Linked DNA regions of Saccharomyces cerevisiae S288C. The protein of the gene in region 4 purifies or fractionates together with the protein of the main gene of each other region. This does not show direct contact. Each region holds a gene or a part of one and is shown on either strand. Other genes may lie near its edges. The genes, in order: BRE5, ZUO1, RIO2 and RPS7A.

The links.
Region 1: the proteins of RPS7A (region 4) and BRE5 purify together in Saccharomyces cerevisiae (affinity purification with mass spectrometry; 3 studies listed by BioGRID). This does not show direct contact.
Region 2: the proteins of RPS7A (region 4) and ZUO1 purify together in Saccharomyces cerevisiae (affinity purification with mass spectrometry; 3 studies listed by BioGRID). This does not show direct contact.
Region 3: the proteins of RPS7A (region 4) and RIO2 purify together in Saccharomyces cerevisiae (affinity purification with mass spectrometry; 5 studies listed by BioGRID). This does not show direct contact.

What each region holds. Positions count from the first base shown.
Region 1 is NC_001146.8:716,186-719,843, reverse strand, and holds BRE5 (Bre5p), read left to right. Parts: upstream 1-1,516; coding exon 1,517-3,064; downstream 3,065-3,658. Other genes in the region: CCR4-NOT core DEDD family RNase subunit POP2, read left to right, coding at 1-498. UniProt on the Saccharomyces cerevisiae protein: Has a role in de-ubiquitination. In conjunction with UBP3, cleaves ubiquitin, leading to the subsequent mono-ubiquitination of sec23.
Region 2 is NC_001139.9:1,061,347-1,065,114, forward strand, and holds ZUO1 (zuotin), read right to left. Parts: upstream 1,808-3,768; coding exon 506-1,807; downstream 1-505. Other genes in the region: protein ERV29, read right to left, coding at 1-244; BIO2 (biotin synthase), read right to left, coding at 2,467-3,594. UniProt on the Saccharomyces cerevisiae protein: Component of the ribosome-associated complex (RAC), a heterodimeric chaperone complex involved in regulation of accurate translation termination and in folding or maintaining nascent polypeptides in a folding-competent state.
Region 3 is NC_001146.8:253,544-257,130, forward strand, and holds RIO2 (protein kinase RIO2), read left to right. Parts: upstream 1-1,809; coding exon 1,810-3,087; downstream 3,088-3,587. Other genes in the region: Hsp70 family ATPase SSB2, read left to right, coding at 1-357; YNL208W (uncharacterized protein), read left to right, coding at 875-1,474; RTT106 (Rtt106p), read right to left, coding at 3,245-3,587. UniProt on the Saccharomyces cerevisiae protein: Required for the final endonucleolytic cleavage of 20S pre-rRNA at site D in the cytoplasm, converting it into the mature 18S rRNA. Involved in normal export of the pre-40S particles from the nucleus to the cytoplasm.
Region 4 is NC_001147.6:503,859-507,295, reverse strand, and holds RPS7A (40S ribosomal protein eS7 RPS7A), read right to left. Parts: upstream 1,503-3,437; coding exon 1,359-1,502; intron 958-1,358; coding exon 529-957; downstream 1-528. Other genes in the region: YOR097C (uncharacterized protein), read left to right, coding at 1-318; ribose-5-phosphate isomerase RKI1, read left to right, coding at 2,968-3,437. UniProt on the Saccharomyces cerevisiae protein: Component of the ribosome, a large ribonucleoprotein complex responsible for the synthesis of proteins in the cell.

The DNA.
Region 1 (3,658 bases), on a different chromosome or scaffold from region 4:
GGTATCAACTTCGAAAAACACGAAAATTTAGGCATCGATGTATTTGAATTTTCGCAGCTTCTAATGGACTCTGGTTTAATGATGGATGATTCTGTTACTTGGATCACATACCATGCGGCATATGATCTAGGTTTCCTGATCAACATTCTAATGAATGACTCCATGCCCAACAACAAGGAGGATTTCGAGTGGTGGGTCCATCAATACATGCCCAATTTCTACGACTTAAACCTGGTGTATAAAATAATCCAGGAGTTCAAGAACCCTCAATTGCAACAATCTTCACAACAGCAACAGCAGCAGCAATATTCACTAACCACACTTGCCGATGAGTTAGGGCTACCAAGATTCTCTATATTTACTACTACAGGCGGCCAGAGTCTATTGATGCTTCTATCCTTCTGCCAATTGAGCAAGCTGTCTATGCATAAGTTCCCAAACGGTACGGATTTCGCCAAGTACCAAGGTGTCATATACGGTATTGATGGGGACCAATGATCATTTATGTACTATATGTATACACAATTTTAAAAAAAAAAGTTTAAAAGCAACATCAGCTTATGATTGGACATGTAGTAATACAGATTGGTTCTTCGATGCAATAAGCACTCTTCCACAGGAGATTGATGCGTTATTCCCGTATAGTTATCGGTCACGTGCGCTGTAGTTTGTTTAACCATTTATTTTTTCTTGGAAATTTTTTCGTCCAAAGCAGCGAAAAACATCAGGTGGCGATTAATGAAAGAATGACATATTGCAAGCAGCATAACCGTCCATTCCAGGGATAAGAGGAAGTACAAGCTTCTTTATTAATAGTTCTAGAGTGACTACATTATTTCAGATTAGGCAATATTACCTTTTCGTACCGTTTTTTTTTCCTGTCCACTGTTACTATTGTTACGGTTAAAAGTTCTATCGCAACCGGCGGACGTTAAACTAAGTCATTTGTTTTTTATCCCATTACTGTTTCAAAAAAGAGCAATTCATACCTAATTTGTACAAAACGAAGACTGTACAAGTGGTAGTACTTGACATAGGATATTTTGCTTGAGTATTAGAAGAATACGAAAAACTTCTTCAGTTTTCTAGTTACCGTTAGTACCAAAACTATTCTAGAGGAAGAATAAACAGTAAGATATTGCTTTAATTTATTTATATCACCTACCACAAGCTTTCGTTTTTTTACTCTGTTTAATTCTTCAAGTTGTGTTTTTTCCCTACATTTTAATTCATTTTTGCCCATTTAATTACATTTTTTTTTTTGTTTTATTATTTTCGTTCAAACCTCATTTTCTTTCAAATATTCAATTAGTCAATCATTTTACAGAGAATCTGTTGAAAACTTATTTTACTGATACATCTTTATTTTTCGTTGATTTTTAAAGAGAAAAAGATCACGAAGAATACTACAAAACCATCGCATTTTTTTTTTCAAGTGTGTTATAGTTTTATTACCTTGTCACTAATAGTTGCATTTGAAGTCATACCCTCGAATAGAAGTATCAAATAAAAGAAAATGGGTGTTACCGTTCAAGACATATGTTTTGCCTTTTTGCAAAACTACTACGAAAGAATGAGGACCGACCCTTCCAAATTGGCATATTTTTATGCAAGTACAGCCGAGTTGACGCATACTAATTATCAGTCCAAGTCAACAAACGAAAAAGATGACGTTCTTCCAACGGTGAAAGTTACTGGACGTGAAAACATTAATAAGTTTTTTTCTAGAAATGATGCCAAAGTTAGGAGCTTGAAACTAAAATTAGATACTATAGATTTCCAGTACACTGGGCACTTGCACAAAAGCATTCTGATCATGGCCACGGGTGAAATGTTTTGGACAGGAACTCCGGTCTATAAGTTTTGTCAAACATTTATCCTGCTACCATCCAGCAATGGGTCTACGTTTGACATTACCAATGATATAATCAGATTTATTTCCAATTCATTCAAGCCTTATGTCTTAACAGATGCTTCTTTGTCACAATCTAACGAGGAGAACTCTGTCAGTGCAGTTGAAGAAGATAAAATAAGGCATGAGTCCGGAGTTGAAAAAGAAAAAGAAAAAGAAAAATCACCAGAAATATCGAAACCAAAGGCCAAAAAGGAAACGGTCAAAGACACAACTGCGCCAACTGAATCGTCAACTCAGGAAAAACCAATTGTCGATCATAGTCAACCTCGGGCTATACCCGTCACTAAAGAGTCCAAGATTCACACCGAAACGGTACCATCTAGTACTAAGGGCAACCACAAACAAGATGAGGTCTCTACAGAAGAGTTAGGAAACGTTACTAAACTAAATGAAAAATCTCACAAAGCCGAAAAGAAAGCTGCACCAATCAAGACAAAGGAAGGCTCTGTTGAGGCCATAAATGCTGTTAATAACTCTTCTTTGCCCAACGGTAAAGAAGTTAGTGATGAAAAACCGGTACCTGGGGGCGTAAAGGAAGCTGAAACTGAAATTAAACCAATAGAGCCACAGGTTTCCGACGCCAAAGAATCCGGCAATAACGCTTCAACACCTTCATCTTCTCCAGAGCCCGTTGCGAATCCACCAAAGATGACATGGGCCTCAAAGTTGATGAATGAAAACTCCGACAGAATTAGCAAAAATAATACCACGGTTGAATACATCAGACCTGAAACACTACCCAAGAAACCGACTGAAAGAAAATTTGAAATGGGGAATCGGAGGGACAACGCTAGTGCTAACAGCAAAAATAAGAAAAAACCAGTATTCAGCACCGTTAACAAGGACGGCTTTTATCCAATCTACATTAGAGGTACAAATGGCTTAAGAGAAGAAAAATTGAGAAGTGCCTTAGAAAAAGAATTCGGTAAAGTTATGAGGATAACAGCTGCAGACAATTTTGCCGTCGTCGACTTTGAAACTCAAAAGAGCCAAATCGATGCTTTAGAGAAGAAGAAAAAGTCAATTGATGGTATTGAAGTATGCTTAGAAAGAAAAACAGTAAAGAAGCCCACGAGCAATAATCCTCCTGGCATATTTACTAATGGAACACGTTCTCATAGAAAGCAACCCCTAAAAAGAAAGGACTAGTCAACCACAAGCCTTTTAAAAAGAAAAATTGAAAAAATAATAAAAAAATTTGAAAAAGAAAAAAAAAAATCATAAAACCAATCTTAAGAAAAACCAAAAAAAAACCGCTAATTAAAATCTAAAAAATTGAAACAAGAAACTGTATGATTAGTAACTAATATACTGGCGCGGAAGGGAATGAATGCCATTTAAATGAGATGATTATGAAAATATAGCGTAGAGTAGATGCGCGAAACCGAGGCAGAAAAGAAAAAGAGACAAGTTAAAAATTGAATATAATGATATATGGGCACTTTCTTCTGTGCTAGGAAACGGAGGTAGAAGGGGATAGCAAGCTTGAGCAGTAATTAAAAAAAAAAAAAAGCATATTGATAGATAGCTCATTTGTAGTTAACTGACGACATTTATGTACATAATTAAAATAGAAGAAAATTTTCAAAAAAAATTCTCCTGGCGATTGTTAGGGACAAGAAAACAAGCCATGTTGTAACCAATAAATGTTACACGCCTTCAAAATAAAAAAAAGATGGACAAAAGAGATAAATCTTTTGCTTTTTCTTACTCTGTGTTGTTGTCAACAAAGACAACAAACGT
Region 2 (3,768 bases), on a different chromosome or scaffold from region 4:
AGGTGGCCACAATGAAAAATCTTGACAAACTTGGAATGTAAGGCTTCAATTTATAAACAACTGCATTGTCAGTGAGCCCCTCAATTCTGGAGGCAAACTTTTCAAAAGAATGCTTCCATTGCTTTAAGATGCCAGAAGTGGATTGGTTCTGGTTTGATCTGAATTGTGCACCGCCAGAGTATGGTCCTTGCGATGATGACATTGGCATACCGCCAAAATTTCCAATAGGTCCTCTGTAAGACATTGATCTATCCTTTCAGTTTTGTTTTCACTTTTTTTGAGTCGTACTAATTGCAGCTATTGTAAGTAAATAAGGACACCTTTGATCTTTCGTTAAAGGTGTCCTTTATTTTTCGCCTTTCTCATTATTCCCTCTTCTCTCATCTTCTAGAAATACCTAAAAAGGGAACCGTTACCCGAACCTATTCATTATAGAAATAAAAGAGAACGTTCTCTATAATATTCGTATACATTCGTATATATTCTATTCCATTTCTTACGGTATTCACACGAAGTAGGACAACAAGCTGGATGGTAGTTTGCCAGAATCGACAATAGTCTTTGCAGATTCCTTCAAAACTTCCTTGGCACCAGCAGCATTGGCCTTGATCTTATCGGCGGTGGACACTAACTCTTCGTCATTCAAACTGTCAACGATCAAACCAACTTGTTCGTCAATCGTGGTGGCCTTGTCAGCATCACCAAAGTAGTCAGCTTCCTTAGCAGAGTTACGGATGGCTCTCTTGTTCTTTTTCTTGGCGGCCTTAGCAGCTTCCTTAGCCTTCTTTTTGTCAGCTTTTGCGGAGGCGTTAGCCTTGGCTTCAGATTCAGCTTTAGCCTTCGCTTCAGCTTCGGCCTTGGCCTTAGCTTCAGCTTCAGCTCTGGCACCGGCTTCTCTTTCCCATTTTCTTCTTTCCTTTTCCTTCTTCTCTTCTTCTTTGAACATTTTGATACGGGGATCTTCACTGACAGCTCTTTCAACAAGTTTGACCAATCTAGCGTTATCAGCAGTCTTCTTCTTGTCTCTTGCGGCCTTGTTCTTTCTTTCAATGTAACGCTTGTGGTCTCTGTTAGAAGAGTCATCTGGGACATCTTCGTCCAAGAACTCAAAGGTTCTCCAGGAGTCAAATCTGTGCCAGAAAGCATAGAATTGTTCAACTTCCTTCTTGGAAGAATCTTTGTTACCTAGAGAAGGAATAGGAGTCTTCTTAGAAAAACGAGCTTCAGCTTCGAAAACGGGGCCCCAAGCTTCATAAAAGTCATAATCGGTACCCTTCTTTGGAGGAGGAACATCGGCAACAAAATCACATGAGTCGTACTGAGCTCTCTTGTTGGAATCAGTCAAAGTTTCAAAGGCCTTTTGAATAATCTTGAAAAAGCCATCTTGGTCCAAACTACCACCAGCAGCAGATTGCTTGTCTGGATGGTACTTGACAACTTGTTTTCTGTGAGCCTTGATGATTTGACTTTCAGTAGCTCTGAAACGCAACTTAGACAAACCCATAGCAGCATACAAATCGGCAGTTTTCCAGTCTCTAGCATCATGAGTCAGTAAATCTTCATCGGCCAATTCAGTGTCGAATAACAACTCATCTGGGTCGACATTGGATTCATCAACGGTTTTGACGTTCTTTTCAGCTTCAATTCTTTCAAATTCAGACCAGGTGTGGTTTCTCAAAGTTCTTTGAGCATGTTGCAAAAAGAACTTACCAACCGGTTCGACCGGACGACGGACGAATGGGGTTTTGGTAGCGGAACTGTTGACTTCAACAGTGATGTCTGAGGTTAGGGTAGGTAAAGAAAACATCGTTACTCTTGTTGGTATATGTGAGACAAAACGAAGATTTTATAAAAGCATCGGTAGGAAAACCTTATGAAATTTTCTCTACCAGCTCTTGAAATAAAAATTTCGAACTCTTTGCAAAATTTCATCGAGAAAAAAAAAAGATTCGTATTTGCGGGTAATATTTTTTGGACATTTGTATTAGGAGCGTTATGTTCATTAATGTCATCCAAAAGATAGTTATAAATCTATGATTGTATGGTTTCTTTGACATATTTATAGTTAATATATATATATATATGTGTTTAATTTTATAAAAATTCCATCGTTTATATTCGATTATTTTTATATGTCAACCTTTTTTTTAAGAAATGTTCATATTTAGTCAAGTTCTTAATGAAATGAACGGTTGAAAGTACAAGGCAACTATCATTTCAAGATATAAAAAAATTGCCCAAAAAAAAAAGGCCATTTGATGAAATGTCTCATCGCGCTACGATTTCTGCTGTAATCAGAACTAAATGCGTGATCGGAAGTAATATTAGATATTGGATGCATAAAAGATAAAACGCCAGCTAACGATGGCAGAATAAATAGGTAAATATATATATATATAGGTTTTCTTAATAAATAAGGGAGAAATGTACAGTTAGAATCGTAGAATTATCCACATATCCCTATCTTCAAGATCTGTCGTACTTAAATGCCTCCATAGGTTGCAATCCCCATTTAGCCAACATTGCCTTGTCTTCGTCCCAACCGTTACACATTGTCGTCAGCATTTTCTTACCGGTGAAGATACTGTTACAACCTGCCATGAAACAGACAAATTGCTCTGTTTCTTTCATTGTATAACGACCAGCGGCAAGTCTTATAATGGCCTTTGGCATAACTATTCTCGCTGTGGCAATGGTTCTCAAAATTTCGTCGAATTGCAACTTTTTACTCTTTGGATCGGCAAGTTCCTCAGCCATTGGAGTCCCTTTGATAGCAACTAGTCTATTAATTGGTAGGGACTCAGGATGAGGAGACATATTGGATAATGTGTAGATGAATCCTATATGGTCGTCTTCGCTTTCACCGAGACCCAAAATACCACCGGTACAGGCTTTTATTCCAGATTCTTGGACATTCTTGATGGTCTGTAACCTGTCGTCGTAGGTTCTCGTGGTGATGACCTTACTATAGTGTTCTCTGGAAGTGTCGATGTTATGGTTGTATGCAGTCAAACCTGCATCTTTCAATTGCTTTGCTTGATCTTGATCAACCATACCTAAAGTAACACACGTTTCTAGCCCCATATCATTCACTTTGGTCACCATTTCCTGAATTCTTTTCATGGCTGATTTACGACCTTTCATGTCTCTCCATGCAGCACCTAGGCAGAATCTAGTAGATCCGTTTCTTTTGGCCTCTTCTGCCTCTTTAATCACTTCATCCACTTTAACCATTTTCTCAGCCTTTAGACCGGTATCGTTTCTCGAAGACTGCGCACAATACTTACAGTCCTCAGAACAACCACCAGATTTGATGTTCATCAATGTGCACAATTGCACTTTGGTTGGATCGTGCCACTTTCTGTGCTGCAATTGTGCTGCATGAGTAAGTTCGAGCAGTGGGGTATGATAAATTTCTTTTAATTGCGATTTTGTCCACGAATGACTTGGTTCATCTAAAGACAATGCATATTGTAGAGCACCCAGAGTACTAGCTTCTGAGGATGCAGTTGTCGATTTAACTGCGGCATTGGTTGCGTATTTAGTTAAAGCCGGTCTAGCGGTAGATAAATGACGGTAGATAGTAGACATCATACTGCACTAAATTGAAAATAATCGGCTAAGTTAGCTCTTCTGAGGACACCACTACCAGAAGAGTAAGATCTGAAAAATTTTCAGCAAGTATGGGAGCAAAAAAAGCTTTGCCCTTTTATATAAGATCTGCCTAAGAGAAGAAATAAAAGATACCAAGAGAATCTAGCAGAGTGG
Region 3 (3,587 bases), on a different chromosome or scaffold from region 4:
GAAAAGTCTACCGGTAAGTCTTCTAACATCACTATCTCCAACGCTGTCGGTAGATTGTCTTCTGAAGAAATTGAAAAGATGGTTAACCAAGCCGAAGAGTTCAAGGCTGCTGATGAAGCTTTTGCTAAGAAGCACGAAGCTAGACAAAGACTAGAATCCTACGTCGCTTCCATCGAACAAACCGTCACTGACCCAGTCTTGTCTTCTAAATTGAAGAGAGGTTCCAAGTCCAAGATCGAAGCTGCTTTGTCCGATGCTTTGGCTGCTTTGCAAATCGAAGACCCATCCGCTGATGAGTTGAGAAAGGCAGAAGTTGGTTTGAAGAGAGTTGTCACCAAGGCCATGTCTTCTCGTTAAGATGTCATTCTGGTTAAGGTTATACACATATATATATTTTTCATTTTTAATGTCTTAGCTTTTGTATCTTAGATGAAGTTTTAGTTCTGTATATCACGATCAAGATATCATACAATCATAAATTCAATTATTCTTCTGTTTCCCCTCTTGAGGCATCAAACGAGTGTTTGACTGATACACACCAACATACTAAGGCAACTTTTCTGGCTGCCCAAAGCTGTGGCACGTATGAAACTGCTTTTCGGCTGCATAAAACAACCATGTGGAGTTTTTACTGTATTCGCATTTCGCCCCGCTAGCATTCTTCGTTCATGCTAAAAATGAGGCGTGGGCTAATATTCAGTATTAATAATTCCGGCACCCGCACAGCCCATACCGGAAAAGGGGCTGGCTGTTGGGCTTGGCAAAAAACTCAATCTGAGCAGTCATTTATAAAGAAAGACTTTAATTTGTCTTGCTAAACACTTGTAAGCCTTCCAAATATAGATCACTTAAGACAATCTAACAAGTGTCCAAAATGTCTGCAAACGAATTCTACTCAAGTGGCCAACAAGGTCAATATAACCAGCAAAACAACCAAGAAAGAACTGGTGCTCCAAACAACGGTCAATATGGTGCCGACAATGGTAACCCCAACGGTGAACGTGGTTTATTTTCCACTATTGTAGGTGGCAGTGCCGGTGCGTACGCTGGATCTAAGGTGTCGAACAACCATTCTAAGTTGAGTGGTGTGCTGGGCGCCATAGGTGGTGCATTCCTTGCCAACAAGATATCTGATGAGCGTAAAGAGCATAAGCAACAAGAGCAATACGGCAACTCAAACTTCGGAGGTGCTCCTCAAGGTGGACACAACAACCATCACCGTCAGGACAATAACAACAATAACGGTGGATTTGGCGGTCCAGGCGGCCCTGGCGGTCAAGGTTTCGGAAGACAAGGCCCACAAGGATTTGGAGGTCCTGGTCCACAAGAGTTTGGTGGTCCAGGTGGCCAAGGATTCGGTGGTCCAAATCCTCAAGAATTCGGCGGGCCAGGTGGCCAAGGATTCGGTGGTCCAAACCCTCAGGAATTCGGGGGCCAAGGTCGTCAAGGATTCAATGGCGGTTCACGTTGGTGAATGGCTCAACAGAGTGAGTGTCATTTTTAGCTAACTACATACTTGATTTATCTATATATACATATATACTACTCGTTTTATTATGATGTCGTAACAAATGACTTATTCGAGAAAAGAAAACGTGAAAAAATAAGCTAAAAATTTGGCGATGAGGTTCTCTGTTGAAGTTGGAACCCGCAATTCATGATTTTGGTAAGGTCAAGGATCATCAGTAATTAGCTTAAAGTAAGAACTACTCAATAATATTAAACCATTTATCCTTGGCTCGTCTTTCTATTGACCAATCAATACTATTTTAAACATCTCTTCTACCACATACTTTCAATCAGACTAGAATGAAATTGGATACTTCTCATATGAGATATTTGACAACTGATGATTTTCGTGTCCTCCAGGCCGTTGAACAAGGTTCTAGAAGTCACGAAGTCGTTCCAACTCCCTTGATTCATCAAATCTCGGGGATGAGATCGCAGTCCGGAACAAACCGAGCCATTAGTGATTTGGCCAAGCTTAGCCTTATTTCCAAAATGAGAAATGTCAAATATGATGGTTACAGGCTAACTTATAACGGTATTGATTATTTGGCTTTGAAAACCATGTTAAACAGAGACACTGTCTATTCTGTCGGTAACACTATTGGTGTTGGTAAGGAATCTGACATCTATAAAGTAAGTGACAAAAATGGAAACCCTAGAGTAATGAAAATTCACAGATTAGGTAGAACCTCTTTTCATTCCGTCAGAAATAATAGAGATTATCTGAAGAAATCCAACCAGGGGGCAAACTGGATGCATCTTTCACGTTTGGCAGCCAATAAAGAATATCAGTTTATGTCCATGCTTTATTCTAAGGGTTTCAAGGTCCCTGAGCCATTCGATAACTCGCGTCATATAGTCGTTATGGAGCTTATCGAGGGTTACCCAATGAGGAGATTAAGAAAACATAAGAATATACCCAAGCTTTATAGTGATCTGATGTGTTTCATCGTTGATCTAGCAAATAGCGGACTTATCCATTGTGATTTTAATGAGTTTAATATTATGATAAAGGACAAACTAGAGGATGAAAACGATTGTGGGTTCGTAGTTATTGATTTTCCACAATGTATATCTATTCAACACCAAGACGCCGACTATTATTTCCAAAGGGATGTTGACTGTATTCGTCGTTTCTTCAAAAAGAAACTGAAGTACGAACCAAAACCTGATTCATCAATGCTCGACACTGAAGGTTTCGGCGATGGTTATAAATATGCGTATCCAGATTTCAAAAGGGACGTTAAAAGAACCGACAATTTGGATGAATTGGTGCAGGCTTCCGGATTTAGCAAAAAGCATCCAGGAGATAGGGGCCTGGAAACTGCCGTTGAAAGCATGAGAAATGCTGTTTATAATTCAGATGACGATATGTCTAATGACGAGGCCGAAGAAGAAAATGGGGAGGGCGATTATTCAGAGGAGGATGAATACTATGACTCCGAACTTGATAATGAAAGTTCTGAAGATGACAGTGAAGATGCACAAGAAGAGGAGAACGAACGTATTATAGAGGCGCTTTCCAGTGGTGTTGAAAATCTAAAAATGGATAAACTAGGAAACTATATACTAGAGTAGTTTAGTTTAGACGACTGCATAAATGGCCGCAAATAATCAAGTTGTTATCCATAATTTTTTTGATTTTTAAGCCATGTTATTCTTCAGGATAAAAAAAGTGGTATTTATGAACTCTTACATATGCGTATTCATGCTATATTATAATATCGAATCTAAGTCAATCGTATTCTACTCCGGATCCATCCTCATCATCTTCATCGTCATCATTATCAATTTCTATCGGAATATCTTCGAGTTCTAACGGCTCCTTAAACTCTTTGTATTGGAGTTCCTGTTCTGGTTGACCATTTATAGAAGCAAAACTATTATCTCTATTCAAAGCGCTTTGGCCCTTTTTGTCTTCCTCTTCATCGTCTTCTTCATCATCTTCTTCTGCTTCCTCTCCGTCTTCTGCACCGTCTGAGGATTCTTGGCCACTCCCATCGGAAAGGTCGCTCTCAGCTTCGAAATTTTGGTCATTTTCTTCATCATCGTCTGAAAACACACCTGCCTTTTTCTCG
Region 4 (3,437 bases):
GGAGTTGCATCAAAGAAATACACATATGACGATTTCAAAGTAAGTATAAAAAGATCAGGAGAGCCAGGGGAATCACATGATATGAGGACTGAACCAAAAAGAACTGCGAAAACGGCAACTGTTCCAATGGAGAAAGACGAGGGCGTAGGTTCTTATAATTATTTTGAAATACCTATAACGAAAGAAACATCTACAATTCCTTATATTAATTGTGATGGCACGAGCTCACTTAGAAAGCCACCCAACGGTCCATCAAGCGTAGGCTTATCTAACTCCAACAGATACGAAAATTTTATAAACATGGCACGACATAAATAAATGTTTGTATGGCAACCTGTCGATTTAGCGGCAATCATACGGCGGTGAAAAAGTATGTAACTATGCATAGTTGTCATAAAATTTATTTGATTCAGATCTTTGCAAAAAGTATTTTTTTTTGGAATTTGGAGTTTTTATTATCTTATTGTGCTATAAAATAAACAAAGTTGTTACTAACTAATAATAAAGATTTAGATATTATTATATTAACTAATGAGTTTCACTTGGAATTTCGAAAACAATTTGCTTACCAGTCAATTTGTTGTAAACAGCTTGGAAAGATTCCAATTTGTAGTCGATTTGTTGGACATCCTTTGAGTCTAACAAAACCTTTTGGATCTTGTTACCACCAACCAAATATCTAACTCTCTTACCAACGATTTCAGTTGGGAAGACTAAGTCTTCCAAGATCTTGTCATGAACAGCAGTCAAGGTTCTGGATCTTGGTCTCTTTTGGACTTGTCTAGATGTTCTAGATGGCTTTGGCAAGATTCTTCTTTCAGCCAAGAAGATGACATGACGGTCTTGGAATTTCTTTTCCAATTCACGGGTCAACTTAGTTTGAACCTTGTGGAAACCAGCCAAAGATGGGACTGGAACAAAAATGGCCAAAGCCTTCTTACCACCAGCAACGTCGATCTATAAAAGAAGGAAAACAAAAAAGGAAAATGTTAGTAAGTTTGATTAGGTGATATTTTGAATATTTGAAGAGTTGACGCCAGTAACTTGTAAATGATATATGCATGGACGACACCGCTTAGAACTTGGACCGATTGTAATTAACTATCAGAACCTTACTGCGTATAGCATGATCTAGTAAATCGTTCCCTTCTTCTTAAACACTGGAGTAGGCTTTTTCTTGAAGATATGGTATTTGCTTAGCATCAAGGTTCAGGCGATAGTCAGCCAAATACATTTGAGTCCTAGTCCTTATCTTTTATACTTTTCTAGATTGAAACATTCTGGTATCGTCCCGTTCACACTTTTTTCCTTTGTTACTCTCCATTATTCTTAAGTTTAGATTCAAATTAATAACATACTTCTCTGATGGACTTGAATTGCAAAGGTCTCAACTCAGCTTTCAATTCTGGAGAAGAATTTTCCAATTCAACGAAAGCTTGAGCAACTTGTAATTCCAATTCAGTTGGAGCTTGAGACAAAATCTTGGCTTGTGGAGCAGACATGTTGTTCGTGATGATCTTTCTTCCTTTCAGCTTTCTTAAAATAAGATATATACCAAGTCGCAAGGACTAATTTTCAATCAAAATCTAATACGTTGCTGTAATGTAATAAGATTAGACATTTTACCAGGATTCTAACGCAGTAACTGGATTATTGCATAGAGGCTTCACTAGGATATTCATGGCAAGTGCAGCAACTGCCATACAGTAGTCTACGACGCTGGCAAGAACATGATTGCTAGGCTGAAAGAAAGCGAGCTTCGCGGGCCTCGCCGGAACAAAGTGATTGGTGAAAGGAAAGCATAAGAGAAATCCTAGGCAGAGCCATGGTCTCCAGCTAGCCGGGGGAGTACATTCGGCTTCTCTCTAGTTACTGAGTGACAAAAAATTACCGCGCGCACTGTTTTTTCTTCAATAATTACGCTAAAGAATAATGAATTTTTTTCATTTTTTAATACCATATCATATGTTTGGGTGTGATAAGGTTCATTGTGTATGGGTTTGAAATGAATGACGGTCATATTATTCTGCTCTTGAGCGCCTTCGGTGATAGAGCCGTATGTTGAAAAACGTGCGTAAATAAGGCACGCACAATAGGAAATCATGCATGGTTGGTATAGACATCAAGATCGTTATTTTTGAAACATTATTTTTATTCTAATAGCAGTTTGCGAACGCATTAAGTTGAGTATTGTTTCTTGGAGAGATTCATGATATTACTCAATCATTATCTGCCGGTGAGATCACGAGTAGCAGAAGAAAGGGGCATCGGACGGTCTTATTTGGCATTTTCGATCGTAATACCGCTTCTGTTTTGGCACTGATAATGTTCACAAAACTTTCTCTTGTAAACTAAAACGTTTACATAACTTCTAGCAAAGTTATAGTATTGCGGAAAGATTACCCACCTGATATGCGTTAATTAGTCATGTTCAAATTTCAGAAAGCCTTTTTCTATAAAAGATTATACAATGACATCCGGTAAGTCCGCCACACTATAGCTATTTTACGAGAAACCTTGGATGCTGCCAAATGTGGTATATCAACCAGCGTTGGTATAAGTCTCGTAAGTGAATTAATTGAGTTTAGTACTTGTTATAATGATGTACTAGCTTCATACCCCCTCTTTTTTTCGGGCTAATGGGAGTAATGGCATGGCCCAGATTGCTTGTGGCCGAGGCAGTGAAAAGTCGCGATGAGTTGAAAAATTTTTTTGCGATGAGGGAAAAGCGATTAACTCGGTGAAATTTCATCTGGTTCGTAATTGGGTGTCAGTTTACGTACGCTTTGGATAATATAATATATGTACGGCTTGCGTTGCAGTGTGAAACTGTTTCAATTTATTACATGCAATTTATTCTCTTTGTACTGGGACGTTCTTTTCTCTTGTAGAAAATTAACAACATCGTGTTACATAAACTTGGTTACCGCATACTGCAACCTCATATAAATACAACATAGGAAAGAAATGGCTGCCGGTGTCCCAAAAATTGATGCGTTAGAATCTTTGGGCAATCCTTTGGAGGATGCCAAGAGAGCTGCAGCATACAGAGCAGTTGATGAAAATTTAAAATTTGATGATCACAAAATTATTGGAATTGGTAGTGGTAGCACAGTGGTTTATGTTGCCGAAAGAATTGGACAATATTTGCATGACCCTAAATTTTATGAAGTAGCGTCTAAATTCATTTGCATTCCAACAGGATTCCAATCAAGAAACTTGATTTTGGATAACAAGTTGCAATTAGGCTCCATTGAACAGTATCCTCGCATTGATATAGCGTTTGACGGTGCTGATGAAGTGGATGAGAATTTACAATTAATTAAAGGTGGTGGTGCTTGTCTATTTCAAGAAAAATTGGTTAGTACTAGTGCTAAAACCTTCATTGTCGTTGCTGATTCAAGAAAAAAGTCACCAAAACATTTAGGTAAGAACTG